Linked DNA regions of Caenorhabditis elegans. The protein of the gene in region 1 interacts with the protein of each later gene in a pairwise test. Each region holds a gene or a part of one and is shown on either strand. Other genes may lie near its edges.

Region 1 (7,262 bases):
TGCGAATCTGTGAGAAATCAAGTTAGAATTCCTACCAATGTGCCTGCATATCGACATGCCTACTTACCTACATGCCTGCCTACCTAAACGTTGTCAGTCTACTTTGAGTTAATGGCTGCCTAGATTATCTGCCTGCCTAGGGCCTAGCTGATTTTTGCATATCCACTCAGTTGGTTCTCGTGCCAAGAAATTTCAAAAAGAAACTCACAAAGAAAAAATGTAAAACATAGAGATAGCTACAGTTGCACAAAACGAAAGAAGCATCATCAATGCGACCGCACTGAAGTATGGCGGGTTGTTCTTCAATTAAAGATTAATTCAAGTGAAATAAAGATAAAGATAAATCTAACCAGTAAATCCAGCGGAAAAAGGCTAACTTGATCTACCGTGTCATCTACATTCCATTGTGGCAAAAAAACCGAAATGCCGTTGAAACACCACGAGAATACAATTGAGAAAAATAAAGCAATAAGTAGAGTATTTATACGGTTTTTTTGAATCCATTTTTAAAGAATTTTGAGCGTATGTATAAGAATTCGGACGCTATTCTTATACGCAAATTGTAGGAGGAGTCGTAGTATTTCGACATAACAATTTATCAAATTTCGATTGACTCATCGATATCGTTGCATTCGTATTGTTTGAATATTCTGTAGTCTTTCGGGAAAAATTTGATATGAGAGAGTCACGGTAAATATCAAAGATAACAACAATTACGGCAGCGTTGGAAAAAATTGGCATTTTTAATTGATGTTTCAAGTAAAAAAAATCAAACTAACCACTGGCAACTTTTTCATTATTTGGAGAAAAAAAAACGTTATTTGGTTGTTTATGACTAAAAAGAGCCTGGGAAATTAATAAATATTTTATATTCAATACAAAAAATATTGGGGAACAGAGTACAAGAAGTACTTATCACAAGAAGAAAAATCTAGAAAATCAATAATTTCAAATGTATAGGGACTAGGTTTAGAACAGAATTGACATTCTGAAGTTTAAGCTTCAGAAAAAATCTGAAAAAAGTTAACACCGATGGAAATATTGGGAGCTGGGATGTGTGGAATGTTATCATTGATAATATCAGTTGTTAGTAGGTCCTCCGCTTAGCAGCCGACAGTTTACAGGTTTTGCCCCGTGAAATGTCGGCTGCTAGGTTGGGTTAGTCGGTTAGTTGGTTAACAGAGCGCATTTGCACATTATTGAAATAGAAAATCGAATCTTAAGAAACAAGAAAAGAAAGACAGGATGACAGAAAATGAACAGGAAAATGTGTGGCACAATTTAATGAAAATATTATTTTTTTAATAATTAAAAGGTAGTGAGATGAGCTCAAAAGCTCAAGAGCTCAAAATCGACTCAATACTGAAAGAAGAGTTGAAGCCAGCTTCAGGAGTTGGAGTCTTCGACGATGAAGATCCCGACCCAGAAATCTCCGATGTTTCAGAGTGTGGAGTCGAGCTCTCAAAATTCGAAGAATTTTTCAAGAAATGGGGCATTAAAAGTAGGGAAAGAGGGTTCAGAAGCAACGATTTTGTAGGATCCATGCCTGGAGGAAACAGGCAGAAATTTGGGAGTGATGGTGGAAGATTTGGGAAAAGGGAGGAGAGGAGTGGTGGGGTTATTGGGGGCTCCGGGAGCAGTGGAAGAGGATTTTTGCGAGAGATTTTCGATGGAGCCGGGTGGTGGAAGTCGTCGTCGTCGTCGTCTTGGCCGCCGCGAGCCTGAAATTGAATTTTTTAAATATTTTTTAAAACTGTGTTTAAAAAACGTTCAACTTTTACAGCAAAATTTTATGATTCAATTTTAGAAAATGCACTATTACCAGTACAGATAGTGTAGATAGTTGAAGAGACAGAGACATCCCGGGACCCAAAGGACGGGGCGCGGAAAAAGCCGATTTGTGTCGATTTACGAAATTCTAGAAACGAGGAAAACTGTAAATCGACGTAAATCAGCTCTTCCCGAGCACCGCCCCGAAAAAGTCTGCGTCTCTTCTCCAGCATTCTTTGTAGATCAAACCGAACTGAAACACTTTGACACCACATGCCGGTAGTAATTTAAAAGGTACCTTACAGTTATGCCTTTCAAATTTGCAGCACTTCTATAATTCATCTCTTAAAGTACATATACTAATAAATCAGGCACCTGACAAACATTGACACCTCGCTCCACCACCTAAATATCTAAATTCAAACCGCATCAATCTTTGTCTTGCCTCTTCTTTCCCCTCCAAGTGATTAGTCCTCCCCTCCTCGCCCCAAGGCCATTTAATCTACCGTACTACCTAAAACATTGCGCGAAATGGAATGAACCATAGGCAAAGAGAATCACTTTTGTTTCCAATCCGTCTTATGTACATGTACAAGTGATACAGTTATATGTATATGTGTCACATATTAGCTAGCGCCCCGCGACAGCCCTTCTTTTTCGGCGGGGGACCCCCCGCTGGACAGCCTGACTGTCATTTTAATGGGCTTGTGGTTGGAGGACAGACTGTATGGAGGATTTGATATTTGGAACAGTACATTGGAACAGAATTATACCTGTTTGCATAGTCATGTCCCCGTTCTTCCTACCTACATGCCTAAGTGCTTGCCTACAGCCTTATATTTCAATAGGTGTAGAGTTCCCAAGCCGAATAGTTGAAAAAAATTTAAAGTTATGTGCAAACCCCGCTCACCCCACTCAAACAAACTCTTGCAACTTCTTATTACTTTTTCTTTGTCCTCTTTTCTAACTACTTCATCATACACACACAGACACAAGTCACTCATTTTCATTTCAACATAACACTACAATATTGGATAGGAGGCATCTGTTGCCCCCCCCCGTAGAAGTAGTAGGAGTACAACTATTGCAACAGATGGCACATTTTATTGGGTAGTACCGGGAGGAGAGTATTTCGCGCGCGTAAGTCAATTCATCTTAATATGACTGTTTAATTGTATTGAGTAAAATTGAGTGAAAATTGAAAATATTTTGGGGGGGGGGGGGGGGGGCGAGGTTAATTACCCTATGTAGATAAACGTTTCAAAACCATTTTGATAAAAAATTTTTGTCAAATTTAAAACTTTGCAGAATGATTTGAAAATTGCAGGTCAGTACCAAAACCACAGTGCCGAAGCTTCCTATTCTCCGAAGGCATTTGCGATTTCTGAAAGTTCCAACTCTGCAATTTTTTAAGAATTTTGTACATTCTCAAAGTTGCGCAATTTCGGCTGAACCAAATACACAGGTACTCTTCATTGCCTAATCTTAAGCATAAGTCTAAGCCTAAGCCAGAACCTAAGCTTTACCCTAAGCCTAACCCTGAGCCTGAACCTAAGCCTAAGCCTAATCCTAAGCCGGAGCCTAAGCCTAAGCCTAAGCCTAAGCCTAAGCAATAGGCTAAGCCTGAACCTAAGTCTGAACCTGAGCCTAAGCCTAAACCTAACCCTGAGACTGAGCCTAAGACTAAGCCTAAGCCTAAGCCTAAACCTAAATTTAAGCCTAAGCCTGCGCATAGCCACACTATCTTAAATATTTGTTCACAGTCTTCCCTTTAAACTACAGTACCCCACATCAAAATCTGCAAAGTCTTATCCAATCCTGCAGCCGTTCATCATAATCTCTTCCCCCAATAGTCTCTCAATCGTATTTAAAACAAATTTCTCGCCTTTTCTGTCATCGACCAACCTTGAGGATTACTGTAGAATTGTCTTTCTCTCTCAAAATCGTGAAGGGGGAAGCACGCGCGCGCCCTCTCTAAATCAATTTTTCGTTTTTTTTTGTTGGAGATTTTTGCGTTTCTCTTTGAAGTGATAAGATCATTAATTTACACAATTTGATAAGTACAGTAACCGAAGACTTACCCGAAATCGTTTCCGACGCCGTAAGCAGCTGCCGTTCTCGAACATTCCGGAGGCATTTGGGTGCACCGCCCAGTAGGAGCCCTGGAATTTTTTACGGTGTTTTTTTTTCGGAAATTTAGAAAAAAAATTATCACAGGATTTAACATGGAAATTGCAGAATGAGCAAAAAGTGTTGCAGATTTACTTTAGCTCTAAGGACTACGGTAGTTGTTTTGTTGGTTCTATAAAGTGAGCATGTGCTCATTGAGGGCAAAAGAGCACAAAAAGAGAGCAAACGAGTTCTTGGAAAAACCCATATATAGTATGTAACTTTTTTTTGCTAGAAATTCATCTTTGAAAATTGCAAATTGTTTAGGTTTTTAAAAATTAAATTAATAACTTCGGAAATTTTATTTTTTTTTAAATTACAAATATTACCTTCCCAGGACGATCGGCTCTTCTTGGGATCTTGATGAAGCAGTCGTTGAATGACAAGTTGTGTCGCAGGGAGTTTTGCCACCTGAAAACATTACATTTTGAGCTGATTTTTATCTTTTTTTCTGAAATGTTGAAACTAATGAATACACTTTTTGAGTTTTTTAGAGAATTTTTCTGTTTGTTTTAAAGGAAATTTCATATATTTTTAAGTCACTTTAACTATAAAAAAATCAAGAGAAAACTTCGAAAATATATTTCTAGGACTTTTTTTTGTTTAAAACATTGAAAATTGCATATTTTTGAACCCAATAATTTTTCTTATAAAAGTGGGGAAACTACAAGAACTAATCTATAAAAGTGAGAAAAAACCCCAAAATAAACCGGACTGAAAACTATGAAATTTGGAGTTTTTGAGCATATTTTGTATATTTTTTCAAAGCAAAATAACTATGGAAATACAAATATCGAAATTTCAGAAAAAAAACATTTCAATCTTCAAAGCTCTGTTAAAACGCAAAATCAGTCACAAAGGGAAACTTCAATGTCAGATTTTTTTGTTAAATTTAACTTGAAAATTTTTCACAAAATGGCCTTAAAAAATGGATTCTTGGAAAAATTGACAAAACCCCCCTTTTTTGGGTTTCAGTAACACAGGAATTTTAGAAAAACTAGAAATTTTCTTAGAGCTCAAAAACTTTCAAACCCCCAACTCATACCTCTGCGTGTTTTTCCTATAAAACGGAAACCGATCCATAATATATTTGTAGATCTCCGTGAGCGGGAGCATTTTATCGTCAGAGTCCTGAATAGCCATATAGGTGAGCCAAATGTACGAGTACGGTGGCTTCTGCTCATCGTACGAGTCTTTTCCGGGTCTTGGCATTTTTCAGGGAATATGTATAGAGTTTTGCTTGGATTGATAATTAATAAAGAAGGTTTTGGAATATATCAAAATATATTGAAATCTTAGCGATTGGGAAAAGTCAATTTGTTTGAGAAGCCAAGCCTTAGAAGGAGAAGAAGGGCGGAGCGTTGAGTGGGCGGGGCTGGCCAACGGGGAGACAGCGCTTACCGAGACCGCCCGTAAGGGAAAAAGGCAACAACTTGTAATAAGGAAAATGACAACACATTTCTAATAGAAAAATAAGTCTTTGTTTTACATTCACATCACTAACCTATATTTGGGAGGAACCAGTTACTCCTGTTGCTGGTGCTGCTGCTGACCGGGTATCACGCAGCCCCCGCTGAGTTGGGGCATCTGGTGTGGGACGGGATTCACTGGAATACTGAAGATGAAAGAGTTGATTGTGTTTTTTTTTGAAAATGTAGGTAAACTGGTATCAGACCACCCGAGAACTGTCACGACTTGTTTGAAATTTTGAGTGACACCGAGAGCGGTAGGGGGGAAGCGTTCGAATTAACGGGATTAGTCCATGGAATGGTGGGGTGTCTAGGTGGGAAGAATTAGTGTCAATATTTGAATTTTTGTTGGACAATTTTAAAATCATGAGAATTACTAAAATATTCAAATATTTGGGTCACCTGGAGAGCCTAGAGCACGCTTCAACTTCAAACGCTCATAACTCTGCGGTTACCTGAGATATCAAAAAACTGTCAACTGATTAAATATTGGTCATAAAATTTTGCACATTTTGTTAATTGACAACTTTTTTATATCAAAAATATTTGTGGAGTTATAACGGATTAAAGTTTGGAGACCACCTAGTGAAAAAGTACGGTAGTTTGGGTTTTCTGCAACAAGAAAAATAATTTAAAAAGCATAGAAAATGTTGAATTATTATGCATTCGAAAAAAGTTTTGGTGAACATTTTCTACAAAAAAATGTATACCAAATGAAAAAGAAACTAGAAAACCTCAGTAGAAAATTTCACTACAATGATTTAGAGAAATCTTAAAATCTTAAAATCCAACTCTGAAAGGATGTTTTCAGCTAGTTTTTTTCAAAGCTCCATTTTTTGCAAGTTTTCCTCATTTTCTAATTCCATATTCTCGAGAGTACACTAACCCCATTGTCCTTATTCACCCCCCTCCCAGTTAGATATTCCATTTGACACTTCACCACTTTTTTGGAACAATTTCACTCATAAATTCCGTAAAGTTTCTCATCGTCACCACCACCACCATAATTTAATGAATGAATAAAGTAATATATATAATAGTAGTAGAGACACCCATTCTCATCACCTAATATTCTTCTCCATAAATTGTTATTACCTACCGTACTCTCGGTTTAAAAAAATTGTATGTGGGAGAATCAAAAAAGGGTAGTGATTATTCTAATTAAATATGACTGGGTTTGTCTCGGGACAAAGATTTTATAAATGAGATTTGGGATAAATGATCAATGGGGAGCTAAAGGGACCTTTAGGGCGCAGCGAGTCGTAATCAGAAAATTTAAATCAACTCCCGGGGGCTCGAACTCATGACCGTTTGCTTCAAAGTCGTCCCTCTTAGCCACTGCGCCACTTGGTACGGCGCCCTAAGAAAACGGCGCCACGGATGGCTCAGTGGGTAAGAGCAATGCCTTTGGAGCAAAAGGTCAAGGGATCGAGTCCCCGTGAAAAGGTTTAGGTTTTGAATACCGCTGATTTCAAATTTTTTACTTGAAAACTCTAAAAACACACGTAAAACGTGATACTTCGTAATTATGTTGATAAAAATCAATTTTCTTACAAATTTACAATGTTCTAAATCAGCTCAGCAACTTCGAAGACAGACCAGTAAAGACAAAACGAAGACATCAAAATAGAAGAAAAAAGAACCAGTTGTCCTTACGGAAGAATAAAAACCGCAATGCCATCCACCAGTTAATCAAAAACGGTTTCCTCCTCCTCCTCCTCCCGTCAATCTCCTTCATAAAGGACATCTCTTCCCCACTGCCTGCCTGGGGAGAGCGCGGCAAAAATCGCGGCATTTTTTGGATCAAAGGTGCCGCTCGATCGCACGGTTGACTGCAGACGGTGCGGCGCCGCT
Region 2 (5,483 bases), on another chromosome or scaffold:
TATTTATACATATATGTAGAGTTTAAACCTAATTTCAACACCTAAATATTTCAGGCTAAAGCTGCATTAGAAGGTATGCATAATCCAGTTGCTTCTCGCCTTCAAAGATCTTTTCTCAATACATGTGAAGATATGCACACAACTATCAAATTAAGATTCTAATTTTTTTGTTTCAGAATATTTAGACGTTGTTTTTTGTTCATCTAGGCTCCTTATTTTTTAGGCTCCTTATTTATTAATTTGTTCTTTTTTTTTTCAAATTTGTAGTAGCTCCCCGAATTGTTTGTCCCCATCTCTAAACATAATCATTTGAGTTCATCATCGTTGGATCTCTACAGATCAATCTTTCGCCTTTTCTTTCTTCCCCCGATGACGTTTTTCTTCCTCCAAAATACCGATTTCAACTGTTTTTATTTCGCCCTCTCACTATGTTCATGTTTTTGAAAGAATAAATTGCTCTCTGACTTTTTTTTTTTTTCTTGCTAACTGTGTCCCCAACCATCCTTTGTCCCCTGTTCCCTCTTCATTCTATTTCAACGAGCGGTCACCGATGTGACCAATAAGCGCAAAGGCACTAAGAAATTGGGAAAATTGAGAGAGGGTTGCGCCATGAAGAGACGCAAAGATTAACACAAGGGCACATTTACCTTTATTCTACCTACATCTATCCCCCAACACAACGGACACTATTTTATATCGGTTGCAGGGCGTGGGGAAAGGTCACCACCAACACTGCCCCAGTCTGATGTGATTCCATCCGGGTTTCGCAAATACTTTTTCAATTTCACGTTATTCAACATTTTTATGATAGAAATTCATTTTGAGCAAATGACATAAACAACATGAGATCATAGTGACAATGTTTTCAAATCCATATATTTTTTCGAGATGATTAAAGGTGGAGTAGTGCCAGTGGGGAAAGTGTTAAAAACTATTCCTATGGTGCCAAAAAGACCGAATATCATAATTAAACCTTTCAAAATTTTTTTTGAAATTTTTTATTTTATGTCAAAGAGTGGCAACTATTATATGTGTATTTAAACAAAATTCCCACTGGCGCTACAGTACTCTGCCTTTAAATGGAGTATTGCCAGTGGGAATTTCTACTCGAAAAGTCCATGAACGAATATCATAATAAAAACTTCGATTAAAAAAAAAAGTTTTGAATAGTTTTAGTAAAGTGACAAATTTTCGTGAAATCTGGAATTTTTTGGACAATTCACTACAATGTTGAAATAGAAATATTCGAAAAATAATTAAAATGTAATATATATGGAAATCTTCTCTGATCAGAAAAGAAAATAACATTTTGGCATTCTTCCAAAATGTGAGAACTTGCCACGTTTTGTCTGGAACATCCCTCATCCCAACTCAAATTGTTCAATTAAAAAGAACGGTGTCATGTCATGAAAAAAGAATTTAAAAGTGCAAACAAAAGAACGATTCATTTTTGTTTTCTTTGTGTTCATCTTCATTTTCTCAGTCTCTCTTTACCTCCTCCGCCTTCCCTGTTATCACTTATCATCTCATCATTTCCTTTACTCAAACATTCACTTTTAGCCTTGTTTCTCTCTTTCTCTCATTCATTTTCCGCTCAGTTTACCCACTTTTTTTGTTTCTGTTACCTGTTACTATTTCTTATCGCGCAAAACAAAAATCGATAATAATTATTGAATTAGTTTTTTTGAAATGAGAGCAAAATTTCAGTCAAAATGAACGGATTACTGCATATGCATGGTCCAGCTGTCAAAAAGCTTTTAGGTTGGAAAATTGGAGAAGACGAAGAAAAATGGTGTGAGAAGGCTGTTGAGGCATTGGTGAAAAAATTAAAAAAGAAAAATAATGGATGTGGTTAGTCAAATATATTTTTTAAAGGAATTTATAATAATTTAGGGAGGGACATTTCTGAAAAAGGGTCTCGACGCGCTTATGAAAGTTTCAAAACTATTTTTGTGATTACCTTTAAATTTACAGTAGAAATATTTGAGCCTCCTTCCTCTTAGTCTAATTTTTCTTACGATTTCTTATGATTTTCATTTTTTTTAACTTGCAAAAAACTATAAAAACAGTAAGAAGAAAGCACCAAAAAACAAACTTAACATTTTCGAATGTATTCGAAAATACTATTGGCGCGGCGAGACCCATCCGAATGTTAAGCATATTGTTACGGATACAATATAATATTATGATTAACATTTTCCGATGACCCTTTTCGATTCATGAATCAAAGTGCACCTTATTTATAAGTTAGATCATAAATATTAAAAAAAAAGAAATTCAACCGATCCATTTCAAATTCTAAATTCCAGGAACCCTCGAAGATCTGGAATGTGTTCTAGCAAACCCATGTACAAACTCAAGATGCATTACGATAGCAAAAAGTTTAGACGGTCGGTTACAGGTATGTGGCGCCGTTGTGGTTGCTTAACGTAAATTTGTTCGCTAATCAGACAACTGTGATAACTTTCAAAAATAACACTTTGGTTTGAAATAACGACTTTTTGACGCCAAACTTCCGGCTTTTCAGGTATCCCATAAGAAAGGTCTTCCACATGTGATTTACTGTCGAGTATGGCGGTGGCCGGATATAAGTTCTCCTCATGTAAGTTAATTGGATATATTAATTTGAAATTTTTGAATGTTCATTTCAGGAATTACGTTCAATTGATACATGCTCCTACCCATATGAATCTAGTTCCAAAACCATGTACATCTGCATTAATCCATATCACTATCAGAGGTTTGTTCTGAAAGTTGTTTAAAATTGGAATACATTTCAAAAATGAATAAAATTCCAGATTATCACGACCACAAGGCTTAAATTCTTCAATGCCATCACCACAACCAATATCATCTCCAAACAGTAAGCGTTGGATCTAAAAATTGTTTAAACATATCAGAATCTTCTATTAAAAAAAAACAACTAAACTCTCTTTAAAATTCTCTAGGGAAATTAAATGAAAAATACATAAAATTGCAGCTATCTGGCAGTCTAGTGGAAGCTCAACGGCATCTTGTGCAAGCTCGCCGAGCCCGTCGGTTTTTTCAGAAGATGGAGGAGAAGTGGTTAGTTTTTTTGCAATACACATTTTTGCAAAAATTATAATTTTCAGCAAGTTCACCAGCGACCTCCACCGTTCCGTCATCCCAAATCCTGGGCCCAAATTACGTATTTTGAGTTGAATTCGAGAGTTGGAGAAGTTTTTAAAGTGAGGTTTTGATTTTTCAAAACAAAACAAAATTGGAGTTTCAGCTAGTGAATCTGAGCATTACAGTCGACGGATATACTAATCCATCAAATTCAAATACAAGGTAAGATTTTGAAAGACATTCGAAAGTAGAAATAAATTGATTTTAAAAGTGAAAAAACCAAAAAATAATTAGTTTTTTTCGATTTCGGTCGGACTTCTAAAAAATGTTCTTACAAAATATAAATATTATTAGTTTGATTTAAATTTCCTCCATTAATACGGTATAATACATATCTTCTCTATAATATTATCATAGTTATTAAAAAGTGGACACTTCGAGTTAATTAACGTGAAAATTGCTGATTCGAAGCTTTAACTTCGAGAAGTTCTGAATAATAATAATTCTTACCGGTTTCTTTATTAAAATAATCCGGAAATTTCAGAATATGTCTTGGACAATTAACCAATGTGAATCGAAATGGAACAATTGAGAACACACGGATGCATATTGGAAAAGGAATTCAGCTTGATAATAAAGAAGATCAAATGCATATTATGATTACAAATAACTCTGATATGCCAGTTTTTGTGCAATCCAAAAATACGAATCTCATGATGAACATGCCACTGGTCAAAGTCTGCCGAATACCACCGCACAGTCAATTATGCGTTTTTGAGTTTAATTTATTTTTTCAAGTGAGGTTTTTAAAATTTAAAATTATTTTCATGCTATTCTTCAACAATTGTCAAAAATTAAGATGTTGGAACAGTCGTGCAACGATAGCGATGGATTGAATGAACTCTCCAAACACTGTTTTATTCGTATTTCTTTTGTAAAGGTTTGTTCTAAATGTTTGAATTCCTTGTAGATTTATACTTGTTAAATTTATCGTGAGATTTTCAAATGAAACTTCGATAAACAAATTTTCAGGGCTGGGGAGAAGATTATCCACGTCAAGACGTCACATCCACGCCTTGCTGGCTTGAACTTCGGCTCAATGTGCCACTGGCTGTAAGTTTTTTTGAGAAGGAATCGTATCTGGAAATTTATCAAATTATCAAAAATATTCTATAAAATTTTTGTACATTTTGTAAATATCATCCAAAATTAAGCCATATTTCTATTTTGGGTACTTTTCCGATTTCTGCCCCCCCAATTTTTTAAGTTCAATATTTCAATTTCAATTCTCACGTGAATGTTTATTTCAATACTAAATAACAAAAAAGTTAACGTTTCATTAATGAATATATCGAAAACATTTTGGGGGCAGAAATCGGAAAAGTACCCTATTTTGTTTGAGTTTTCTGTGAAAATGAAATATTTTCAGTATATCGATCAAAAAATGAAGCAAACTCCAAGGACGAACTTGATGGAACCAAATTCAATGACATAATGATTTGTTAAAAACGCTTTCCTTCTCGCAACCACCTGAATTCAGAATTTACCTACTCTAATGATGATACTTGTAACATGTTTTACATTTGCTGGTTCTTTTTAATTATGAAGATTTCTTTTAATGTTGTCATGTTCTTCGAACATTTACTTAACGAAATTCTCAGAATGATTTCGCAGTTTTTTTCGGTCACGACAAAAACGCCCCCTAATTCTTGGGATTTTTAATTGTTTACTCTGAAAATATGCTCGAAAATTTTGAGCAAATGATTATTTATAACAAATCCAATACGTAAAATTAACTATTAGATCCATTCTGGGAAACGTCCACAGACAGCTCCATAGTTCCAGAGATCGGATGCACCTTCATTTTCTGGATGCTTTACATAGTTGCAGAAGACGTCATTGATCAGCTCACTGCGAGCAGGGAATTGAGAAATTGAGAGTTGAAGGCAAGATTCAATGCTTCTGGAAATCATATTTAAAAAAAAACAACTTGCAACTGTAACTAACTTTTCAAAGATGGTCTGTCCTGGTTCAGTTGCAGACCAGCTTTTCCACATGAAAGTATTATCAGTATGCTTCTCATCAGTAGTGAAACCAGATGATGAATTCCTGCATTCTACAGTAGCCAAAACGGTTTTATCTGTAGTCTCGCAGTTCTTCAAACGATGTCCATCGACAATCATTGATCCACGATCCAATTTCTTTGCAGTAAGGAAATCACGAAGAACAGTGGAAAGTTTGGTACGCTCATCAAAATTTTCAAATGATGTCAGGATTGATCCATCTTTCTCACAAACTTTTTTGGCTTGATTTGGAGAGATGAGAGTATCAGACAAAATTGCCTGAAAAACATTATAGAAAAGAGGCAAGGGGCAGCAATTGAAAAATGTTTT

The links. The genes of interacting proteins can lie anywhere in the genome.
Region 2: the proteins of lin-31 (region 1) and sma-3 interact in a two-hybrid assay, tested with the Caenorhabditis elegans proteins (one study listed by BioGRID).

What each region holds. Positions count from the first base shown.
Region 1 is NC_003280.10:3,980,543-3,987,804, reverse strand, and holds lin-31 (Protein lin-31), read right to left. Parts: upstream 5,257-7,262; 5' UTR 5,152-5,256; coding exon 4,985-5,151; intron 4,351-4,984; coding exon 4,269-4,350; intron 3,933-4,268; coding exon 3,852-3,932; intron 3,477-3,851; exon of another isoform or gene 3,285-3,476; intron 1,722-3,284; coding exon 1,338-1,721; 3' UTR 776-1,337; downstream 1-775. Other genes in the region: K10G6.5 (Serpentine receptor class gamma), read right to left, coding at 1-7, 209-267. UniProt on the Caenorhabditis elegans protein: Lin-31 regulates how vulval precursor cells choose their fate. It helps specify three alternative cell fates in vulval development.
Region 2 is NC_003281.10:6,860,193-6,865,675, reverse strand, and holds sma-3 (Dwarfin sma-3), read left to right. Parts: upstream 1-1,707; 5' UTR 1,708-1,712; coding exon 1,713-1,851; intron 1,852-2,309; coding exon 2,310-2,401; intron 2,402-2,527; coding exon 2,528-2,602; intron 2,603-2,651; coding exon 2,652-2,740; intron 2,741-2,798; coding exon 2,799-2,863; intron 2,864-2,980; coding exon 2,981-3,066; intron 3,067-3,113; coding exon 3,114-3,209; intron 3,210-3,253; coding exon 3,254-3,312; intron 3,313-3,634; coding exon 3,635-3,887; intron 3,888-3,949; coding exon 3,950-4,030; intron 4,031-4,122; coding exon 4,123-4,203; intron 4,204-4,519; coding exon 4,520-4,585; 3' UTR 4,586-4,702; downstream 4,703-5,483. Other genes in the region: cra-1 (N-terminal acetyltransferase B complex subunit NAA25 homolog), read left to right, coding at 55-162. UniProt on the Caenorhabditis elegans protein: Involved in TGF-beta pathway. Plays a role in male tail tip morphogenesis.